2 linked regions of the Alligator mississippiensis genome follow. The protein of the gene in region 1 binds, or shares a complex with, the protein of each later gene. Links are inferred from orthologs where the notes say so. Each region holds a gene or a part of one and is shown in the gene's direction. Other genes may lie near its edges.

Region 1 (7,017 bases):
CACACAAGAATGTACATAATACTTTTGTTTTCTAGTTGATTATGGAAAAAAAAGCCTCCAAAAAGCCATTATGGAATCTGGGGATCTCTCTCTCTCTCTTCATAGCATATCCAAATAGGACGCTAGTGACCACGGTCTTCCAGAGATCTCTTCTCTTTGAGGCATACAAAATTTCCAGCGTTGATACATTTAGATAGACTCTTGACATAAGTCAACCTCTGTCTTCCATGATCTCTCCTTTCTTCTGTCTCTCCAGTTACAACCAGACTTTCAATTTCGTCTTTCCTCATAACATGTCCAAGAAATTCCAACTGTCTCTTTCTGATGTTAATCAGCAGCTTCCTCTTGAAGCTTGCTCTTGACAAAATATCTTCCTTCGAGGTATGACTTGTCCAACACACCTTCAAGATGTGCCTTAAGAACCACATCCCAGTTGACTTCAATTCTCTTTTCCACACTTGGCAATATTGTCCAGCATTCTGATGTATACATGAGGACTGGTATAACCAGTGAGTCCAGAGGAGAGCCACATGCATGATCAGAAGTCAGGAAAACAGACCTTATGATGAGAGGCTGAGAGCTATGGGATTGTTCAGCCTGGAAAGGCGCAGGCTCAGGGGTGATCTGGTGGATGCCTATAAGTTTATCAAGGGTGCTCACCAGGATCTGGGGGAACGTTTGTTCATCAGAGCACCCCAAGGGATGACAAGGTTGAATGGTCATAAACTCCTCCATGACCATTTCAGGCTGGACATAAGGAAGAACTTCTTTACTGTCCGAGCCCCGAAGGTCTGGAATAGACTGCCGCTGGAGGTGGTTCAAGCACCTACTTTGAATGCCTTCAAGAGACATTTGGATGTTTATCTTGTGGGGATCCTATGACCCTTGCTGATTTCCTGCCCCTGGGGCAGGAGCCTGGACTTGAAGATCTTCCAAGGTCCCTTCCAGCCTAATGTCTATGAAACCTATGAAACTTAGCAATCCAAAATGCTTAGCTTCGTCCCTATAGAAATTTTACTATTTGCCAATATCTTTTTCATTTTCAGAAATGCATCTTTTGCCATCCCTATTCTGTTTTATTTCATGATTTACCAGTTACCGTATCAGTTATATCATTCACCTATAAAGCACTTTAGAATGTTTTAGCCACAATGGAAGACATAGTAAATTGACCAAATTTTAATTTGACAATAATTCTGCATGAATAATTCTCTGAGCTGGGACAGAGGAAACCAAGAGTTCAGACCTCATTTAAGTGGTTAAATCCCCCTGCAATTCACTCCCTATGTAATGGCCACCTTCTGAAAACTAACCTATAAGACAAACTGCAAAAAAATGCTAAATGTTTTATTCTTCCTACCCCTATTTCTCAGATAAGTTGGGAGACAGGTTGCAAAAAGATCACTGCAGATCTAAAACCAGGCTTTTACATAAAATTCACGATTTTGTTTCCAATGTTCCACATTGTCTTAAAGTAACTGAGTTTGGGTTATCATCTAACCACTATTCATGCATCCATGAGCCAAAGCTTCAGAGAGACTTTATAAGTCCTGTTCACAGATATTCTATTGCTGACTAGAAAAAAATTGGGTAAGCCACTAGAAAAGTGTGTGTCCAATTCATCTTCATATAGATGAACTTGAAATACACTATTTTTGTAGTTCGAGCAGTAATATTATTGTAAAATAGAAATCCAAAGGTTCAAACTCAGATACTAGTCTTTGTAGGACCATAGTATGTTTTTGCCTGATTCACAACAAAAGAATGCCTCTTGAAAGCAGACTTTCTTATTTTAAAAGACTATATTTTGTAAGTTATGGTTTAACATCAGCATAAGTTAGTGAGCAATTATTACTGTATTTACTCAAATCCCAATGAGGTTTATTCCCCATTCAACATGGGATAAAAAAAACCCCATCATCTTAAATTGGAGCATGGTCCAAAAACAGGCAGCTACTACATCTCTGACTCTGGCCCCGACTTGCAGGACAACACATGGTGCAGGGGAGGGTGCAAGGAGACTGTGGGGGAGGGCAACACAGAGAGACTGTACAAATGGGGTGGAGCATGGTGCAGTGGATAGGGGAGCATGGCAGAGAGATTGCATGCTGCAGCCCAGGGCAGTGCAGGGGAGACTTCAAAGGAGCAGGGGAGCTGCCGCAGCTCCAACTCTGGCTCAGACCCCAACCTAGGGCTTAAGCTGCTGCTGGTGTTGCTGCTGCTGCCACTGCTGCCTAGATGGGGCTGGAGTCACCCTGGGCCAAAGCTATAGCTGCCACATAGGGAAAGCAACAATGGGAGGGACAAGTGCCCAGGGGCAGGCACTTATATTCAATATTGGGGCAAGGGGGCAGGGGAGGCAGGACAGGCAGGGAAACTTCCCTGCCTCTGCTTTTCCCATTGCAGTAGTGTGAGTGACAAATTTAAGATGACGAGAACTAGATTCTATATGTGGAATAATTTAATACATTTATATTTTTTCATGTATATACAGTAATTAATTATTGGGGGGTCATCTTAAATTCAAAGTCATTTTGGATTTGGTCAAGTATGGTGTTTAATTTTTTGCTTGGGGAACCTTCTAGCATTCTCAAATGAAACCTTAGCAATGACCTCAGAAGTGTTCAAATGTACTGGAGCTGTGACTTGTGGGTGCCTATCTATTGCTATAGTTGATATACAGGCAGTCCTCGACTTACGTTGCGAGTTACAACATTTCACACTTACAACATTTATAAATTGACACCCTGTTTCAACTTTACGCCAGTTTTGACTTACAACGCTTGGTCCGATGCAATGCCACGCCAACGAACAAGTTCACTGCATTGCTCATCTCCCTGGAGAACATCTGTCCAAACTTCCTTGGACACTTTCTTTAAGAAAGCAGACAAGACTCCAGAAAAACCTGCAGCCAAGACTCCTGAGAAGACTCCAGCCAAGAGCCCTTCAAAAAGTCAAACCAAGAGTCCTTCAAAACGTCCAGCAAAGTCACCTCAAATAAGTCCTTCTAAATCAATATGATTGCTATTTACAATATAAACATATTAACGTAGCTATATTACTCATCTGTAATTGATTTGAGTACAAAATTCTGGGGTATTTTTGGTGAAAATAGGGTATCGGGCCTTGGTTCTGGAACCAATCCCCCATTTATAAAATTATTTCTTATGAGCAAATCAGTTCCAAATTACGTTTTGACTTAAGATGAGGTTTTCAGGAACCAATTGCCTGTATAACTTACTGTTAAGGTTTTTGAGGGAGGCTGCATGTTAAATGAAGCTAAACTATATGTTGCTTGCAGGCAGAGCCACAGGCATGGGCTAACTGGGTGGTTACCCGGGGCCCAGACAGAAAGGGAGTGAAAATAATAATTATTATCATTATCTCCAGCAAGGGGGGGGGGGGGAGGTTCAATACTAAAAGTCTGCCCGGGGTCGCCAGAAGTCTAAGTATGATGCTGCTTGCAGGGATCAGTTGGCATCAGAAAAGAAAACTTTGTTGAGTGCTGGAGTACATTAATGGTGGTTTTTGCAGCATGGAAGGGGCAAGAAACACAGGTTTCCTTTTAACTTATTTCCCGGTTTTTGTGCTTCTCTTCCAGGAAGCATGTCCTACTGCCACCTTAACTGTTCCCAAAGGCAGTTCATGTTTGACAACAGCTATACATTTACTCCTGGTTCCTAATTACAAATGGAATTCAGCCCTTTTCACAGAACTTGTTTGGAAAAGTCCGCCTCGTCCCCTTTTTCCTTCTGGCCTCCTAAAGCCTGAGATGACTGATTGACTCAGACCCTCCCTGGACCCTTTTCACTAGTCCAAGGCAGGTAGGGAGCTGGCATTCGTTGGTGGGGGGTGGTGGTCTTGAACGGACATTGGCAAACGCTGGCGGGCGCCACACCTGGGGGGGCGCACACAGCCCGGGACTCGCCCCGCCCCTAGCTCTAACGTATGCAACGGCTTCCGGGCGGTGCTGGTTCGGCTTCGCGCGTGCGCAGAGCGGACGGGCCGAGTGGCATCTCACCCCCGGCCCGGCCTGACAACGTAAGGGAACGGTTGCTGCGACCTTGGGTGTAGCGCAGAATGTGACGCCAGAGGCGCGGGACGATGACGAAGGCGGAAGTAGGGCAAGGAATGCAGAGGGGTGCGGAGGAGCCGTTAGGCTGAGTTTTTTTCCCCCTTTCCCTTCCGCCACCGGCTGCGGCTCCGACATGGAGGTAAAGGGAGGCTGGGTCGCGGTGGCAACAGCAGCAAGTGAGCCCCTCTGTCGGGGGCCCTGGGGTGGGGGTCGGCGCTTGACGTGGGGTGAGCCCTCCCCCCACACGCACACGTCTCCCATAGGGCTCGACCACTTGGCAGCGGAGGGGGGGGGGAGGTTTCAACTGGGGATGGAAGGAGGAGGACGGTACCACTTGAGGGGAATTGGAATGTTCCACCCGGGGATCGGGTCGGGAGGAAGGTACCACGGGGGAGGAAGGTTCCACCCGGGGATGGAGGGAGAAGGAAGGCGCCACCTGGGCTGTAGTCAGCTGGGCACAGACCATTGGGGTAGGGGAGGAGAGGCCTTCTTCACCACAGCTTTGCTCCCTGGGCTCTGGTCAGCCCAGGCAGCCTCTACCCCAGTGCTTTGTACCAGGCTAACTGCAGGTGGGGTGGCGTCTCCCCCACTCCCCATTACAGTGTTGGGTGTGATCAGAAGACTGTGTTAGAGCTGTCACATCCTGGGTCAGCCCACGGGTCCGCCTTGCCCACTATAGCCCTGCATCACTTGGGGCCCCATCACCCCATTACACGTGTTGTGCTTGACTGGCAAATTGCACCGCCAATTTAGCCCAGCCACGTGTGCAAAGTGTTGCCTCTAGCTCACCTCAGAAAGTCTGGCCCACTGTAATGTGAGAGGGGAAACGTGCCGTAACTTCCTAGCCAGTGACCAGCTTTCATTTCCACGTGTAGCAGGGGACATGGCCAGGGGTGGATCCAGAGTATGTTGGATTCCTGCTTCAGTCGCTCAGCAGATGCGTGGAAGGAGCCTGGCCTGCCTGAGTGGCCTTACCCAACCTGGCAATCCACCTGGCCAGGAAGAAGGCTCTGGCTGGAGGACCTGTCTCTGGTCTGTTCACTGCCCTGTTCCTATCCCTGGGTAGTGTCCGCTGGCTCCTTGAACTCATGTGAGGGCCAATGGGCACAGGCTGGCATGTTCTGCTTGGTGTCCCCCAACTGCATTTGTTTTAATCCTGTGACAATCACTCCTAACTCTGGTCCTTTAGTTGTCCTGAGCGATCAGTGATGTCCCCTAAGTAGCCCCCTTTGTCAAGGGTGGCTTATAGCTCTACTTGGTGGACTTTGGCCTGCATTCCCGAATGGCATCTCAAGGCCTGACCTGCCTGCAGTCTGTGTGGCTGGGCTGGGCATTCTCTTTGTACAAGAAGGCTGGAGAAGTAAAACTGTAAAGAGAAGACTTTGAGGAAAAAGGGCAGGTGGGGAGAGTAAAAGGGGGTGGGGTCAGGTTAAGTGCAGGGTGAGGCATTGCTGCTTGCTGCTGTAGGGAAGGAAAGTCCCATCCCCTCCCTGCTGCTCCCACCAGGTGGCCCAGCCAGAACAGTAAACTGCCAGCACCAAAGCCAGCAAGGAACAGGAAGTAGCTGGGCTCCTGGGCACATATCACAGAACTGACGTGGGGGAATAATAGAGACTTGGTGGGATAGCCCTCATGACTGGAGCTCTGTCATGGATGGGTACAAACAGTTCAGGAACAGCAGGCAGGGGAGAAGAGGAGGAAGAGTTGCACTCAATGTGAAAGAGGGACACGATTGCTCAGAGCTCTGGTATGAAACTGGAGATAGGCTGTTGAAAGTGGGGGTGCCCAGATAAAGATTTTTTTGGCTGATACCAGTGACCAATTATTAACCAGCTATATTGGCTGATACTGATCCGATTGCCAATATGCGTCCTGGTAGCTTGGAGAGCATCATCCAGCTGGTAAGTCTTTTGGGTGGAGGGGAAACAGGGCCCCCACAGTAAGGGAGTGGGGTTGGGACAGGCGCTGAACAGCTGGGGTGGGGTGCAGGACAGAGCTACAGCACATCTGGTGGAGGGGGGAGTGCAGCTTCTGTCACTGCATGCACCTCTGGGGGAGGCATGGAGGGCATGTGTCCCCTAGATCTGTGTGTGGGGTGAGGGCAGGCTGCTGCTGTGCGCTCCAGGCCGGAGACTATGCCTCCTTCTTCCCACTGGGGGTGGCCTGGGCCAGGGCTGTGCTCAGGTGGGGTGGGGCAGGTGGCAGCAGTGGCACTGGGTGGGAGATCATGGGGGGGCTAGAGCCACCCCAAAATTCACCATAGCCCCCCTCCCAGTGCTGCTGCTGCCTACCCAACCCCACCTGGCCTGAGCACAGCCACTGGGAAAAGCCCAGCATAGCCTCCAGCTCTATCCTACAGCAGCAACCCACCCTCGCCCCACACACAGGTCTGGGGGCACATGCCTCCCCTGGGGGTACGTGCAATGGAGGGAGCCACGCACCTCCCTGTGCCTCCTCTGGACAAGCCACTGACTTTTTCTCACACCCTGACCTACTGTGGCTGGGCAGCACCTGCCCCAGCCCCACTCCCTCCCTTGCTGTGGGGGCCTTGATCTGCCCCCTCCACACCCTTTCCCCCCCAACGCCCTTCCCCCCGCCCCATCTTATCAGCAGGATGCTGCTCTCCAAGCTGCTGCTGCGTGTGTGCTGCAGCTGCACGCATGCACGTAGCATTTATTGGCGACATTTATTTGGCCCTATCAGCCAAAAATAGCCGATTGCCAATAATGTCAGTTTTCCTTTTATCAGGGCAGATATGATATGAACTGATGTATTGGTGCTCCACTAGCTGAAAGTCTCTGGGTTGGGGTCAGAGAGGAGAGGAACAAGGGTGATATCATGGTGAGTGTGTGCTATAGACCAGCAGATCAGGAGGAAGAGGTGAATGAGGTCTTCTTCAAACAGATAGCAGACTCATCACAGGCCCTGGTTCTCATGGGGGA
Region 2 (7,030 bases), about 120 Mb from region 1:
ACATTCCTAGCTCTTACCTAATGCTTTGCATCAGTTGGTCTGAAAGGTGGTTATGAAGGAGGACAGTAGTATCATCTCCATTTCACACCTAAGGAAAGTGAGGCCAGGAGAAGTGAAGTGACATGCCCAAGATCACCCAGGTGGCTAGTGGCAGAGCAGAGAAAAAGAGCCCAGGTATCCCGAGTCCCAGACCAGCACTTTTGTCCACTAGCCCAGTCTGTAAATCCCACCAATGCCAGCAGGAGCTTTGCCAGTGTTTCTGAGGGCAAGGCTGCTGTGATTTCCATCCTTGGGAGAACATTTTCTTCCACGCTTATGCAGCTCATAAGACTGCTGGGGTCCAATCAATAATAAGTGAATGAGTAATGAAGGCAGTATATTTTCATAGATGTTAGGTGTTAGGGTCGGAAGGGACCTCAATAGATCATTGAGTCCGACCCCCTTTTCTCATTCTTGATACAACCCACCCTGGCAGCTCACAGCAGCAAAGGAAAAACAGTGACTTGTTTGACAGACTGGGGCTGACCAAGCTATACAAGCATTATTGTATGCAGGAGACAGTAAAAAATATGAGGCCTGATTTCCAGGGCTCCTGCCCCTGGCTTGCCCCCTCCATCAGTACAGACAGCTGTGTCTCATGGTCCCTGGAGGATTCCCCTCTACAGCAGCATGCTTGGATCTGCATCCTAGGGCAGAGGCATGGCTAAAGGAATGAGGTGGCTAAGTTACTGTTATCCTGCAGACTCTTGACAGCCAGTATAAATGATGGTAACCTCAAGCATTGCTCTATTTATGCGGGGGATGTGCACAATGCCTGGACTTCCCTCTGGATTGAGGGAATTTGAAGATCATTGCAGACTTACAGCTGATGTGCACCAAAGGCAGCTTGTCCTCAGCTCAGGATCCCGGGCTCTTTTGGCAACCAGTCTGGAAAATTCTGATTCTCTCAAGACTTGCGGCAACGGAAGTGCATGACTTTCAATGTCTGCTTAAAATACATAGCAGGGAAGCCAAAATGGGCCAGGGTTTTTTTTTTTTAAATCTCAGGACAGGAGCTGAAGCTTGGGAAGCTGCTGGTGGCAGAGGAAGAAAGTGTTACATCAGACAGAGGTACAAATGCCGCAGCTGCATGAAAGCGTAGTAGCAGCCACAGCAGCAGTGATAGATTGATGTATAAAATTTTGGAGCTAGTCCAAAGTAATTATAATCCCCAACTCCAGAGCTACCTCGATGGCTACTTGGGAGAGGACAACAGAAAATGAATAGCTCTCAGCAGGGAAAAAAAATACATTCCCTACACAGTCTGCTTGCAAAAGCTGTTTAAAGGCTAAGCTGTGATAGGCTCTGCCTTTTCCTTTGCAAGCAATCTAGGTCTGTCATGCTAGGAGCCTGCCAAGCCGTGACAATACGAGAGATTTGAATCATTCATGACTAAGGTTTTTAAATGGCTCATTGAAACACGTTGCAAGGGTTTTCATCATGGGGAGGGCAAAGTTGAAGTTACACGTGTGAGCCTGGGGACCCGAGTCAAAGCACAAACCTGCAGCAGCTGCTTTTTGTACCCAAGAGGAAAAGGCTGGAGGAGATGGTGTGTCTTGATAACATTAAGGTTCGGGGGTCTATTTAGCACAGCCCTCTCTACAGGGGAAAAGATGTGGTCTAAACAAGAACTCTGGCTTAATCCACCTCTAGTTTGCTCTCTGACCTGGGGCAAGTCATATAGGACCCAGCTTCTGCTTGTGCCAATTCCCTCGCCTGGTGCTGGTGCAAAGGGGCCAAGTAGCAGCTCTACCTTGTCATTAGGGAAGTTGGCTGGTGGAAGGAAAATCTCCCCGTAGTGTGAAACAAGCTGGGTGTCAACTTCCCTCCTCCCTTTGGGCATCAGGCAGCATATGGGGGGGGCATTCATAAGAGATTGCAGCTGGGGAGAGCTGCAGGACCCAGGCTATTCCTGGCAGCCAGGTGCCAGGGAGGACAGTGCTGCAGTGTGCTTTACCTTGACAGTCCCTCACTGATCCCAAAATAATGGATCAGCAGAGGTGGTTTAAAGCAGCCTTGGCCTCTGTCCCCCGCCCCAACCCTGGGGCCTGTGCACAGTGAATAAGGTGCAATGAGGAACAGGGTCAGGGCTTCCCTTTTGGGGACCAGGGGCAAAGCTTGCTATCAGGCCCTGGTCTTTGTTAGACAACCATACCCGCCACGGTCCTGGATTTGACAGCTACTAGTCATTGTCAAGGCTACAAGGGCAAGTCGGGGTGCTTTGCACTGCTCTAATGCCAGCCCCGATGATGAACCCAGCTCTTAGCTTAGACTTTACCCGTGTCTCCAACACACTTTTGACTCGCGGCCCCTCCACTTCCTGTCTTTAACATGCATGGGAAAACGCAGAGGCGTATGCAGCAGCATGGGAAAAATGCAAAGGAGCAGTGAGGTTGGGTTTGCTCCCATCCATCGAGCATTTTCTAGGATCACAGAAGAGCGGAGGGTTGTCAGGGCCATCCAGAGGCCATCCAGTCCAGCCCCCTGTCCAAGGCAGCTCAGCTCTGTCACGACCATCCTAGCCAAGGGTTGGAATGAGTAGATTGCGGTGGGGGGCAACCTTTTTGGCAGGCATGCCACCAAGCAGCCTCACACCATAGACAGGGAGAGAAAATATTATTGGGGGCGGGGGTTGAGTGCAGGCATCAGCATGAGCACGACAACCCCCATCGTGCGCTGTGCAGTGCGGCGCACGCGCGGTTAGCCTCTTCTTCCTCAGCCGCGCGGAGCTGAGCGCGCCTGGGGCGCTGGCCTGGCTGCACGCCGAGCGGTGCCGCAAAATGAGTTTGCAGGGGCTAAGACCCCCCAAGCCCCGGCTTTCTGCTGCCTATGCACCACGCTGCTCGCCAGTGCCACTCCGATCTCCTTGCCCTGCCTGCTCTGCTGCTCTGCTTTCTGCTCCCCCCGCCCGGTGCTCCCCTTCTGGATCTGCCATCCTGCTTTCTGCTCCCTCCGCCCGGTGCTCCCCTTCTGCTCTGCTCTCTGCTCCCCGGCTGGTGCTTCGCTTCTGGATCTGCCTCTCTGCTTTCTGCTTCACTGTCTGGTGTCCCCCTTCTGATACGCTGCTCTGCTTTCTGCTCCCCTGATCTGCCGCTCTGCTTTCTGCTCCCCCTACCCAGTGCTCCCCTTCTGGATCTGCCACTCTGCTTTCTGCTCCCCTCGCCTGGTGCTCCCCTTCTGGATCTGCTGCTCTGCTTCCACTCCCTCTGCCCAGTGCTCCCCTTCTGCTCTGCTCTCTGCTCCCCCTGTCTGGTGCTTCCCTTCTGGATCTGCGTCTCTGCTTTCTGCTTCACCGTCTGGTACCCCCCTTCTGATATGCCGCTCTGCTTTCTGCTCCCCCCGTTTGGTGTTCCCCTTCTGATCTGCCACTCTGCTTTCTGCTCGCCCTGCCCAGTGCTCCCCTTCTGGATCTTCTGCTCTGCTTTCTGCTCCCACCGCCCCGTGCTCCCCTTCTGCTCTGCTTTCTGCTCCCCCGTCCGGTGCTCCCCTTCTGCTCTGCCGCTCTGCTTTGGCTTTATTTAATGATTGCTTAAATTTTGTTATTTGAACTTCTTATGTTGCTGGCGTGTCGTGCGCGATACGGAGCGGCCCGTGCCTTTTGCAAACAGCCGATGGCCTTGATTTTTTTGGGTTTTTTTTCTCCTTTCTTTATCGTTGTGAAAAGTTTTCTTTCACACAAGACCGTCATTCTTTTGTTACCAGCTTAAATCAACTCAGCTTGGCGCTGACCGGAGCAAGCAGAGGAATCACATAATTGCACAGCCGGCTCCCAGCCTCGCACACCCCCGGGAGCCCTCCGCCCCGGCCCGCTGACGTCACCGCTGCCACACTCGGCATGGCCCCCGCCGCGCGCCGCTCCCCCCGCTCCCCCCATCCTCGCGCTCCTATTGGCTGAGGGGCGTGCGCGCTGACGTGTACAGGGGAGGAGCCGAGCGCGACCCCGCCCCCTAGCTGCGCGCGCACAGCCCAGCAGGTTGCGTTGCGCCACCGCCACCGTCGCTACAGCCGCCGCCACCGCCGCCGGGCGCTCGGGAGCGGTTGCACGGCGCGCTTCCAGTCGTCAGCCCCGGCCTCGGCCCCGCGCCCGCACCCGCACCGCCTCAGCACCGGCCCCGGCGCCGCCATGTCGGCGGGCGGCGACTTCGGGAACCCGCTGCGGAAATTCAAGCTGGTTTTCCTGGGCGAGCAGAGCGGTGAGCGCCGCACCCCTCCTCCCCCCCCCTCCCTTATTGCACCCCCTCAGCCGTGGGGACTGGGCTGTGCCCGGCGGGGGGGGGCGGGTTTGCCCACATGGGGCTGCGTCCCCTCCCTGCAATGAGGGGGGGCAGGGAGATCCCCCCCCAACACACACACACACACCTCGAGTGAGCGAGCATCTCCTCCACCTTTTGGCAGGGAAGAGATGGGGAGGCCTGGCTTGGCCCCCCCCCCCCCCCCCGCCCTTTGCACGTCAGCAGTGGTGAGTGCTTTTTCACCCCGATTTAATGAGGGGGACGTCGGGGCACGGGGTGCTGCTGCGCCCGCATTGCTAAACACCCCCCGTGCTTCCCACAAGGACGTCGGTGTCGGTGTCACTTCCATCGCCCTCCGCGGTACGAGGGGAGTCAAGCCACGTACGTGGGCCCTTCCCTTTGGCCTGCCTCTTCTCTTTATTTCCCCTTTGTCGCAATAGCCCCCGAGTGACACCCCCCCCCCCACCACGTGAGTCCCGGGCGCCAGCAGCGAGGTGTTGCTCGGCCAGCCGTTTTACGAGGATCTTGAGAGCGGTTCGCGTGCGGAAGACGCTGTCGGTACCAGGTCAGGATCGATCCGATGCCGGCCGCGCTCCTCGCAGGCTCTGCGGCCTCTTTGATCGTAGGGCCGAGATTTACTCTGCGTGCGGCGTGCGTCTCAAAGGGCGGTTTGATCCGTGGCACAGTAACGGATTTGTTCTCTGGGTGCTGCTTGCTGGATCGCGGCAGCTGCTGTCCTCGCCCGTGGGTTTGCGTGCCCGATGGTCTGAATCCTCCTCTCCTGGTAGTGATTCTGGACACATGAGTATGATGATTCCCCTTGAACATACGTGTGTTTGTCTGGGAAGGATGGAGTGATGCAGCAAAGTACTTCCAGTCTCGCAAACACTAGCTCATGTCTACGCACCCAAGCTACTTTTAAGCTCACCAGCTTCTCCGAGCTCGCCGGCTTGCATAATGCTAGCAGAGTAGCAACAACCACCTGCAATCCAGTATGATCTGCCAGATCCACCCAAAAAGCGGGGTAAATGCACAGGCAAGTGGTCCAGGTAGGCAGCGCTGTGCCACCTGGTAGCCGTACCCAAGCTGGCTCCTCTAAAGCTGCTGGGGGCACGCATTCATGAGCCGGTGTCCTTGTAGTATAGGCAATCCTGATGCATTTCTGAGACCTCATTAAACAGAGTTCTTGTGCGTGGCTTGGAAATGCCTGTTTATTCCAGGCTGCTTCTGCTCTCCAAGCGAGATTTGGACAAAGCCATGTCGGCATAAAGATCAGTTGCGTCTAGCCTTAGTAACTAGATAGATATGCTAATGGTGGTCTTCTGTACAAGGAAGAAAAAGCCTGAACATCTCTTGATCAGTGCTGGGAATGTTAACGCTGGAATTTTCCGCCCCTGTTTAGCTTGCTCTCCTTGTCTGTCCTCACTGTGTTGGCGTTGGAGGGTGCAAAGCCTTGCATAACAGCGGCTTTTACAAATCAAGGCGTCCTTTTCTGAAAAAGCTGTTGCCACTGGGATGTTCTGTTCGCTTCCTGTTTCACTGAATGGTTGTCTGCCTGGTTGGAAGGCCGTCATTAAAGGTATCTAGCTGCCACTCGTAGGAAAGCAGAACGCTGCCCTGGCATTGTTTCCTTTCAATCCCTTCAGAAAAGCAAATCAAACGTTACGGGGGTGCTGCTGTTGATTAGCTAGACCAGAATGTCAGGGCTAAGATCATGCCTCTTGTGTTGGCTTCCTACAATCTTTTCAAGAAATGTATGTGCTACTGCTGCCTGGTTCTTAATTGGACCTCGTTAAAGGCTTTCGAGCTGGCACAGGAGAAGCAGCCAAGTGTTCAAAGAGAATGTCTTGCCTTGTGAAATAGGGAATGTTTCTGCCGAATCTATTTTTGTATTTTATTTGGAAAAGTGATCGGCCAACGATGGAAATAGCATCCTTTTTTCTCCTTGGCTGTATCGTGGCAATTCAGTGCAGCTTTCTACCTAAATAAACACGTTTGCTTGCACTGCAGTGATTTTTTTTTTCTTTCTTCTCCAGATTATGCTATGCATTATTGTCAGCAATAATGTGTGTTTTTTTTTCTGAACAAAGAAGGTTTGGGGGCTTCTGATTTAATCTCTGAAATAAAGCCCCCTCTGTCTCCCTGCTTCTTGCATCTCCTCAGTTACTAAAATTTATCTGGCTTTCATTTTTGTTGCATCAACACCTTGAGCCCTGCATGTTGGAGAATGAAAGCTGACACACTGCTGCAGTCGTCCATCCCTTGGAGCCCTCCCCTGCCCATGCCAGTCAGTCGGTGTGTTAGCTGCATGACATAAGGTCACTTGCAGCTTCTTTTGGGATTTACTGCAAATCGCTGGTTCTCAGTGAGAGTATGCTTTTTCTGGTTCAAAACTGGATCGATGAAACCTCAGGTGCTTGCTGTAGATTGATTGCAAACCTGCATTTTATTCCATGGATAGCTAAAAGCACCTCTGTGTGTATCTCATCTCTCTGACTTGCGATGTAAGCTGTGCATTGTAGGGCGACTAGCAAGAAATTAAAAAAAATATTAACAGGGGCTTGCCTTAATTGAATTAACTTCTTCGGTGATTGCAGATTACATAGAGTTTAGTCATTTTAAATATGTTAATCTTTCCTGAAAAGACAGCTTTGTGCTGAGGGATTAAATGCAGCTACAGTAAAATATATATATAATATTCTGATTCCCTTTAGTGTCTTTGATCTTACTTCATGTCAGGTGACTTCCAGCATTTCTAA

Evidence for each region.
Region 2: the proteins of GCC2 (region 1) and RAB6A are in contact, whole or in part, in a crystal structure (PDB 3BBP), measured with the Homo sapiens proteins. The link is inferred for Alligator mississippiensis from reciprocal best matches to the Homo sapiens genes GCC2 and RAB6A. Residues at the interface, in NP_852118.2 of Homo sapiens: Thr1585, Ile1588, Leu1589, Glu1591, Gln1592, Leu1595, Leu1596, Glu1599, Arg1602; in NP_942599.1 of Homo sapiens: Lys15, Ile46, Gly47, Ile48, Trp67, Arg74, Phe75, Ser77, Leu78, Ser81, Tyr82, Asp85.

Annotation. Positions count from the first base shown.
Region 1 is NC_081824.1:349,384,859-349,391,875, forward strand, and holds the start of GCC2 (GRIP and coiled-coil domain-containing protein 2), read left to right. Parts: upstream 1-4,016; 5' UTR 4,017-4,208; coding exon 4,209-4,214; intron 4,215-7,017. UniProt on the Homo sapiens protein: Golgin which probably tethers transport vesicles to the trans-Golgi network (TGN) and regulates vesicular transport between the endosomes and the Golgi.
Region 2 is NC_081824.1:467,028,758-467,035,787, forward strand, and holds the start of RAB6A (ras-related protein Rab-6A), read left to right. Parts: upstream 1-4,012; 5' UTR 4,013-4,162; coding exon 4,163-4,232; intron 4,233-7,030. UniProt on the Homo sapiens protein: The small GTPases Rab are key regulators of intracellular membrane trafficking, from the formation of transport vesicles to their fusion with membranes.